Oryzias latipes: one gene and its partner. The protein of the gene in region 2 purifies or fractionates together with the protein of the main gene of each other region. This does not show direct contact. Links are inferred from orthologs where the notes say so. Each region holds a gene or a part of one and is shown on either strand. Other genes may lie near its edges.

The links. The genes of interacting proteins can lie anywhere in the genome.
Region 1: the proteins of sike1 (region 2) and strn purify together in Homo sapiens (affinity purification with mass spectrometry; 4 studies listed by BioGRID and IntAct, with this or other methods). This does not show direct contact. The link is inferred for Oryzias latipes from reciprocal best matches to the Homo sapiens genes SIKE1 and STRN.

Annotation. Positions count from the first base shown.
Region 1 is NC_019873.2:28,037,044-28,041,223, forward strand, and holds the start of strn (striatin), read right to left. Parts: upstream 2,872-4,180; 5' UTR 2,727-2,871; coding exon 2,514-2,726; intron 1-2,513. UniProt on the Homo sapiens protein: Calmodulin-binding scaffolding protein which is the center of the striatin-interacting phosphatase and kinase (STRIPAK) complexes.
Region 2 is NC_019865.2:1,582,156-1,586,450, forward strand, and holds the start of sike1 (suppressor of IKBKE 1), read left to right. Parts: upstream 1-1,424; 5' UTR 1,425-1,695; coding exon 1,696-1,854; intron 1,855-1,977; coding exon 1,978-2,083; intron 2,084-2,156; coding exon 2,157-2,299; intron 2,300-2,397; coding exon 2,398-2,511; intron 2,512-3,249; coding exon 3,250-3,357; 3' UTR 3,358-4,265; intron 4,266-4,295.

The DNA of each region.
Region 1 (4,180 bases), on a different chromosome or scaffold from region 2:
GGCGCGTACAGTTTCTCCAATAAAGCGAGTGGCCTCAAACATGACCTAACAAGCTGGCTGGGCCGCATTCCTACAGGAACTGTGGTTTACTTTCCGCCCAAACAGCAACAGCTCTACCTGTCTGCTCTTATGTTTAAAAGAAATCCACAGATGTGTGTCGATGAAGAGCCAATCTGTGGCCGATTATGAGGGCGTTCATTTGATCATTTCAATTTAAAACCATTTGCTTGAAGGCATCTTCCTCTGCATACCTGTGCCGCCCAATCTTCTCCGAGTAACCAACATGTTCTTTGCAAAACTACTAAAACTATCCTTGAAGGGGATTACAAGTCCATCTTTACATTTAACCCTTATTCTGATGTTAAACTATAAACCACATAATAGTTATTAGAGTCAAAACTGTACGAGTAAATCATGCTCGAGTGGCTGCACTATCACCATGACACAAAAAGCCAAACCACATAAACCTGTCTAATAGGGCTGCATGACATGAGGGAAAACTCGCGATATACGATATCAGTGATCAATATTGCGATGACGATATAACTTGAAATACATGAATAAATATCAAAACAACCAAAAACATATTTTCCTATTTTATTACTGTATTTTTCCCTCGAAGGTGGGATTTGCATTTGACCCATCCCCTGGGGGAGCGGTGAGCTGCAGCCAAGCCACGTTCGGGAGGCAGTAGCGTGTTGTTGATGTTAATGTTATGGTTATTGCCCCCAGTACCATTGATCATTCCCGTCCGGGAATCAAACCCTGGTATCCTGCGTGGTAGCTTCCCACCTTACCAACCGAGCTACCCAGCCGCCCAATTGTAATACCTTGTATGCGATTTATTGTGCAGGCCTACTGTCCAATTATAAGGATGAAACACATACAGGTACTCGACACTTTCCAAGGAGCGACACACAAAAAACCCCTCCGTTCCCCTCCGTGGTTAAGTCGCGGCTGCTTAAGCATCAGAACCCATCATCTTGTCTCTAAACATCAGAGATGCAACGTAATCTACCCCACAGACTGAAACTGAAGGTGTGCAGAGTCCAGGCAACCCCGATGGAGGTGAAGATCACCACCAGTGCAGCAACAATCCAGTGACACCCCCCCCCCTCATTTTTGATCGCTTTCTTAGCTGAAGTGCTGCCTGCAAACATGCTAGAAATTTGGCTCCGAGTCCATGAAGTTGAATGCTGCTCACTCATATCATTTAAAAAAAAAGTATTTTATTTTTTACATTTATCCATGGCTGGTTAGCGCTCTCACAGCAAGGATAGAACACCAATAGGGGACATGCGTGGGTTTTCTACCGGCTTCCTCCCACCGTCCAAAAACATACTTCATGTGTTAATTTGTTACTGTAACTTGTCCTTAGGTGTGAATGTGTGTAATTGTAGCCCTGCGACAGACTGGCGACCCCTGGCAGCTCCGTGACCCCGAAAGGGAACAAACGGATTAGAAGATGAGGAATTTAAAAAAAAAAGTTTATTCATTATTTAACCAGGAAAGCCCATTGCAGATCTCTTTTTCAGATGAGTCTTGGCCTACAAATTATTACACAACCCAAGATATATATATTTGTTACAATTAAAACTGTTTTTAAAAAACAAAAAAGCATGTTGGTGACGCAAACCGAGACAAAGTTGTGTTAGATATAAAGTCACAGACTTTGATTTCCTTTTTTTAAGCCAAAATGAAAAAGACGAATGGAAGCATAATCATAATAAAACATAGAATAATATTTAAATATATTATACAATCCCACAAAAGACGTCATTTAATCAACATTAACCTAATCAAAACAATAATAAATTTAGCAAAAACATTGTATATTTATGGCATTAAATCTGCTTGGAGTGAAAGGTTTAACCTTTAAACCCAACGGGTTTTTAAAACAATACTTATTTTAACACTTAGAGCAGCTAAAAGTACAAAAACACAGCGGATAATTATTTTAATATCAAACAGGGAGACGTAGCCTCTACTAATCGAAAACTGTGACTCCTCCTGGATATATAAGCAAAAACCGTCTCCCTAACTTTATATTTCCTTAAATCGCATAAAAAACGAAAATATAATTATACATATAAATATATGATTTAAAGAATAACGTAGGTGAGGTGCTATGAATTTAGCCGTGGAATGAAGGTAGCAGTGTGTAGCGTGTAGCTACACAATCTGTTGTGCCCTACATAATAATAACTACTTTGCTAGTACATGTAATAGCATTTAGCTGCTAGTTAGTTCCGTCGTGTGAATGTAAAGACAGCACATAAAGACAGAATATGAGCCCCTAAAGGTAGGACACGAGTTAGGGGGGCATGAGTCAGAGTAAAAAGGTCGCAAACACTCGTCGGATTGGCGCTGTAGCTCCTTTAGCAGCAATGCTAAAGCTAGCAGCTAACCAGAACAATCGAAGCCAGAAACTCATCACGACTTCGTCTAAAAATGACCTAAATCCGACAAATATTTAAGTTTGTGTTGTGTTTGCAACATTATGGTTTATTTACCTGCAATTCGGCTCGTTCCACCTCCCATTGAGCTCTTTCTACTTCGAAACGGGCCCATTCGTGCTGCAGGAAGTGCAAGATCCCCGGGATACTGTACTGCGCTCTCGCCGCCTCCCCTGCGTCGCCATCCGGCAGCGGTCCTTTCCCTCCGCCCGGCAGAACAGAGTTGTTATTGTTGTTGAAGAACACGCCGGGCCCTGCCTGTTCATCCATGGCCGGGCTCGGTGAAGCGGTTGGGCTGCAGTCTCGATGACCTGCTGGGCTCGATACCAACAGAAGGCGAAAACCGTGTCGAAAGCGCTGTGTCTCCGCCGTGTGAGGCGAATGAACTCACTTTCTGACAGCTAGCTGTCACGGGGTGACGTCACCGCGGAGCCACACCCACAACGTGTTGGCTGGCATCGTTTGATTCACTCGCAGGGGCGGCCCCAGGAGGGGCCCGGGTCCCCCCAAAAGACTAATACCCCCACCCCACCCCATTTAATAAATCCTGTTCAATTTAAATAAACGTCATTATCTTTAATAAAACTAATCATAAATAAATGCTAATATACACCTCTGTATTTCCTATTCATGTGACCAAAGGATAGCTTTATATTGAGCAGCAACATTTGTTTAATCTGTTCAAAATAAATTAAAACAGAAACAGCCAAAGAAATGACAAATAAAATATAGTTTTTATTATTCTTTGAGCATTATTTTAGTCCACAGACATATTCACTGCACAAATTTTGACCTACTATTGCTAGAATCTTTTTTTTTTGTTGTCCAGGCTTTTAGAGTCAATCAAAAATCTAAATCTTTAAAGATTTTATGGGCATTAAAAAAAAAGTTGCTCTACAGAAAGCTGTTAAATTTAAATTCTAGAATCTTTCACTTTTGCTAAAAATGAACCTTTTTTTTATTATTTTAAGCTGAAGCAATTCATTTAGTCTTCTTAGACGTTAAAATATAATAAAAATGAAGTTATAATAAAGGAAATTGTGTTGTCTCAAATCATCTGAGTCATTAGCTCTGCCTCCTGAGACAGACGCCACTGCAGAGGCGCTAAAAAGATCTCCAGTTGACACCACCAGCCTCACGTTTATTTACAAATGTCCAAATTTACCTTTTATTTTCCTGGCAAAACAAAAAGAAAACAGTAACTCAACATTTAACATCCATCAAATTATTAACAGTCGTCTAAATCTGCTAAGTTACTATCATACTTGATGCTTACATATGGTTAGCAATACAATTTAATCATTTAAATCAGTTACAAGCAAAAAGGAAAATAAAACAATTTAGCAGCTGCATTAAAAGATAAAAATATTTAGGGATACAATGCATTTGCTTCTCTGTTAGTTCTAATAAAAATCTCATTTCTGGCTCAACATGGAGACTACATTTCAATTCCATTTTACAGTCTTGTTGGAGGAATGTCGATTGGAGTTTAAAAAGTTGAGTACCTGTTCAAGAGAGAATTTAAAACCATTTACAAGACTACAAATGAGTAGACCGGAAGGCCACGCAGTGAGTTAAGCAACTCCATCAAAGAAGCAACAACAGATGCAGTAAACCACAACATTGGGACGAACGATGCAGAGAGATGACGGAGGAAACGCCTCTGCAACCATTAGACTCCAAGAACGAAGGCTGAGGGCCTCTGTGAAATGATGATACATTCA
Region 2 (4,295 bases):
AGAGAGTTTAAATTCTCTTCCCAAAGCTGTAATACCTCGAAATGGACATTTTTAAATATGAAGGGCCAGAACCTGAGCAACTAGTGAAAAGAGGAAAGGGCTAAGAGGACATCCCTGCCATATTCCTCTGTTTGTGTCAAATCTAGGAGTTGTGCCATGTGCAACTTTAATGGAGCTGTTGCATCCATTGTACAGACCCTCCATCACTTTTAAAAATCTTTTACCAAATCCAAATTCTTTTATAACTGGAGTCATAAAACTGTGACTAATTATGTCAAATGCCTCGTAAAAGTCAACAAATAAGATAAAACCATCATCTCTAATATGTTCATTATAATCAATCATTTCTACTATTAATCTGGGAGCCGGTTTAGCTCGTGTTTGCGGCGCCTTCTGTCCGTGAAACCAGGGTTCGACTCCAGGCTGCTCCCTGCTCCCTTCTCTACCTCTGTGCCGGTCCTAAGCCCAGTTTGAGAAGGTTGCGTCAGGAAGGGCATCCGGCATAAAAACGTTGCCAAATTTACCACGCCCTGTTTACCACGCGTTCGCTGTGGCGACCCCTGATGGGAGAAGCCGAAAGAGGAAGAAGATATCTAGTATTAATCTGATATTGTTGGCAATATTTCTACCAGGCATGAAAGCAGATCATTCTTCTTCAATAATGTTATCCAGTCCTGGTTTTAATCTTTTGGTAAAAATGAGAGCAAATATTTTAGCATCATTGTTTAACAGACTAATTGGTCTCCAGTTTTCTATGCATAATTTATCTTTTTGTGGTTTGGGGATGAGTTTGATGATGCCTTGTCTGAGAGTTGGGGGCAATATACCAATTTCTAACACTTCTTCAAATAAATTAGCTAGAAAAGAGGTTAATTTGGCAATAAAACATTTATAAAACTCACTTGTTAGTCCTTCATTTGCTGGACTTTTATTATCTTTAAGAGATTTACTACAATTTTCAACTTCCTCTGTTTTAATTTTCTGGTCACAAGACTTTTCAAAGGTTTCAATTACTTTTCCAATCTTTTCTTTAATATTGTTGATAAATAGTTCAATATCTTCTTCTCTAAAGCAAATTTTAGTGTAAGTTTCCTGATAGAATTTTGCAACATATTGAGAAACCTTTTTTGTATCTTCACTTATTGAATTACCAATTTTAATTTGACGCAGACAGGAAATTTCAAAATCTCTTTGTTCTCAGTTGAAAAAGTATTTAGTACATTTTTCACCTTGTTCTAACCATTTTCTTCTGGATCTAACAAAGGCTTCTCCTGCTTTTTCTTCATATACTTTATTCGATTCTGATTGCAAAGAAATTAGTACGTTTTGTTGTAGATTAATTCGTTTTCATTGATAATCATTATTTTTCCTTATCATTATTGTCTTTGAATGCATCATAAGAGGGGGCGGGGAAAACGCGGAAGTGACGTCATCATTGATCGCAGTGTATCGTCTGCTTGACGGATAGGTGGGGGTACTTTTAAAGCGTTTGTTTGCTGTTTTGACCGTTTTCTCCATACCGTGTGAAAACAGTGCAGGCGTTAGGCGGGAAAGTTCCCGCAAGGCTTGTGCTCGGAAGCGCCGCGGTTACGCGCCGAGCTCGAGCCAACTTAGTTGGAGGGAGTTTCGCTGGAACCGCGCTCGTGAAGCAGGGGCTCGATCGCGTCGCCCCGCGGACCTGACGCTTTCCAGTAAATGGCCTGCACTTTGGAGAAAGTGTTGGGCGACGCTCGGACCCTCCTCGAGAGGCTGAAGGAGCACGACACGGCCGCCGAGGGTCTGATCGAGCAGTCCGGGGCCCTCAGCCGCAGAGTGCAGGACATGAAGGAGGTGGGAAATGCCCTTCCGGAGAAGGTAAAGACTCGGCGGATGAGACGTTCAGGTGCTGGGCGGCCATAGCTGCTGAAAATACCAGTGGGATTTTTTAATGGATAACTTTTGCTAGTAAATAACATGTTAGTACATTTTGTTTGACAGCACTTGGAAGACAATGCAGAACTACGGGAGCTCACAAAGTACAAACCTCATGTTCTTCTGACCCAAGAAAACACTCAAATCAAGGATCTGCAGCAGGAGAACAAAGGTAGGATTCTGTTCGGGCGGTTTCCACGGTGGGTCGTGTTTGTTCTAACCCTCTGGGTGGACTTTCTCCTCAGAATTATGGCTGTCTCTTGAAGAACACCAGTACGCTCTGGAACTCATCATGGGTCGGTACCGCAAGCAGATGCTGCAGCTGATGATGGCAAAGAAGGAGCTGGACACCAAACCGGTTCTGAGCCTCCACCAGGATTACGCCAAAGTACAGCGTCTTTCACACCATCTTTGTGCAGCGTGACATCGTCTCTTTGAGGGCCGGCTTTGGGAGAAAACTCGTGGCGTTTTTACTTGTCTCTACAGGAAGTGCAGAACAAGGTGGAGCAGATATGCGAGATGGGTCAGGTGATGAGAAGAGCCGTTCAGGTGGACGATCAGCACTACTGCTCCGTTCGAGAGAGGCTGGCTCAGCTGGAGGTGAGTACCGACGATCGAGCCTCTTTCCCCAAGAGGTCAGAGGTCATTTCTTCCCCCTAAAGCAGTATTAAAAGCAGCAGAGGGGACGGAGGAGGGCCCACGAAAACCTTCACAACAGCAGACGTTTGTCACAAGAACCAAAGATCTGAGAAGGAACTCCTTTTGTTTTGGTCCATCCATCCATTTCACCTCCAGATCTGACTTCACTGCGTCACTTAAAACTTACAGAAACCTTTTTTTTTCTCTTAAAAACTTCCAGAGATAAAGTTGTAGCCTGAAGGTTTTGAACGAAATGTCTTTTTCTAAAAAACAGGAAGCTGTCCAGTAAAACATTCTAAAGATCACATATTTGTTTGATTCTTGCAGCTTTATTGCATAAATGTTCTTTTTTCCTATAAAATCATTTTATATACATTAAAAAAACTAAGAATGATGAAAACTGCTGTGTTTAGGCAACTCAGTCCCAGGTTGGCGTTTTTAACAAGACTTTGGTTTTTTTCAAATGTTCTATGTAAAATACTTTAATACAGAGAATGTAGGCATTTGTCTTTATTTCATACTCTTCTTTTATCTAGAACAACAAACAATATAGGCAGTACAACATTTTAATTGTGAAAGACGTGTAAATCTTATCACATGTACACATTTAAATCTTTTGTTTTAGTGAAGAAGAAAAGTAGTAGATGGAGTCCGTTGGGAGGAAAGTATTCAGTCTCTTGGTTTTTTTCTCTCTTTCAGATTGAGAACAAGGAGCTTCAGGACCTTTTGGTCATCAGCAAAGAAAGCATCAAAATGTCAAAAAAAGAAGAACCCCACCAGCCTGAAGCAGCAGAACCGACTTCATGAGCTCCATCGAGCTCTGCGTGTGAATTTATTCCCTCAAATGGATTTATTTATAGAAAGTCATACGGCATCTTTAATACAAAAAAAAGATCTATCATCTTGTCTGCAGCTAAGATAATAATTAAAGTGTTACTGTGGACGGCATTCAATTAGCTGTTCTTTGAGGTGTATTTATTAGATTCTAACACGTGCTGTCAAAGTAGATTTAAAGTATTTTTTTGCCAAAGATATATATTTAATCGTCATAGTTTTTTTGGACCCCTGATGTTCACACAATCTCTACTGCCTCCTATTAAAGCCAAGCACCGCTCTGTTTCACAACAGAGAGGACCTTTGGGGAAAACAAGCAGTTTATTCTGATTATATTTACCTGTTTGTTTGAATGAACAGAAGTTTGGTTTGTGCTGTTGCATTTTGTGCAGTAGGTGTTTTTTAATTTTTTTGTATGAATGAAAAACGTTCTGTTTTCATCTCAGGAATTCAGTTTAACTTCATGGTTTGGTGTAAAACAAAATCAAACGATAATAATAAAAGAAGTGTTTTTCCAAGGCATTTGAGGTGTTGTCCCTTCTTCGAACGCAGGGCGGCAGCATCGAGTCAACTTACTAAAAACCTATCGCGAGATCGGAAAAAGTACAGCGCAAACGCTTTTAGGCTATTAAAAACCTATCAAATCACCTTTTCACGCAACTTTCATAATTTCCATTAGTTTGGTTGTAACAATATTTGTCACATTTAAGTGACATTTTAAAAAGACAATCGTCAGAAAGCTCGGATTTCCCACAGAACCTAAACGCCGCATGAGCCCTATATTTGACAGTTGTCGTTTTAAGCTAACGGATCCAGAATGTCTGAAAGGGAACTGGGGAGGAAGCTGGACCGATGCCTGGCAGATGGTGTCATTAAACTGGGTAAATAGAGTCGTGTTTGTCCGGTTTTGT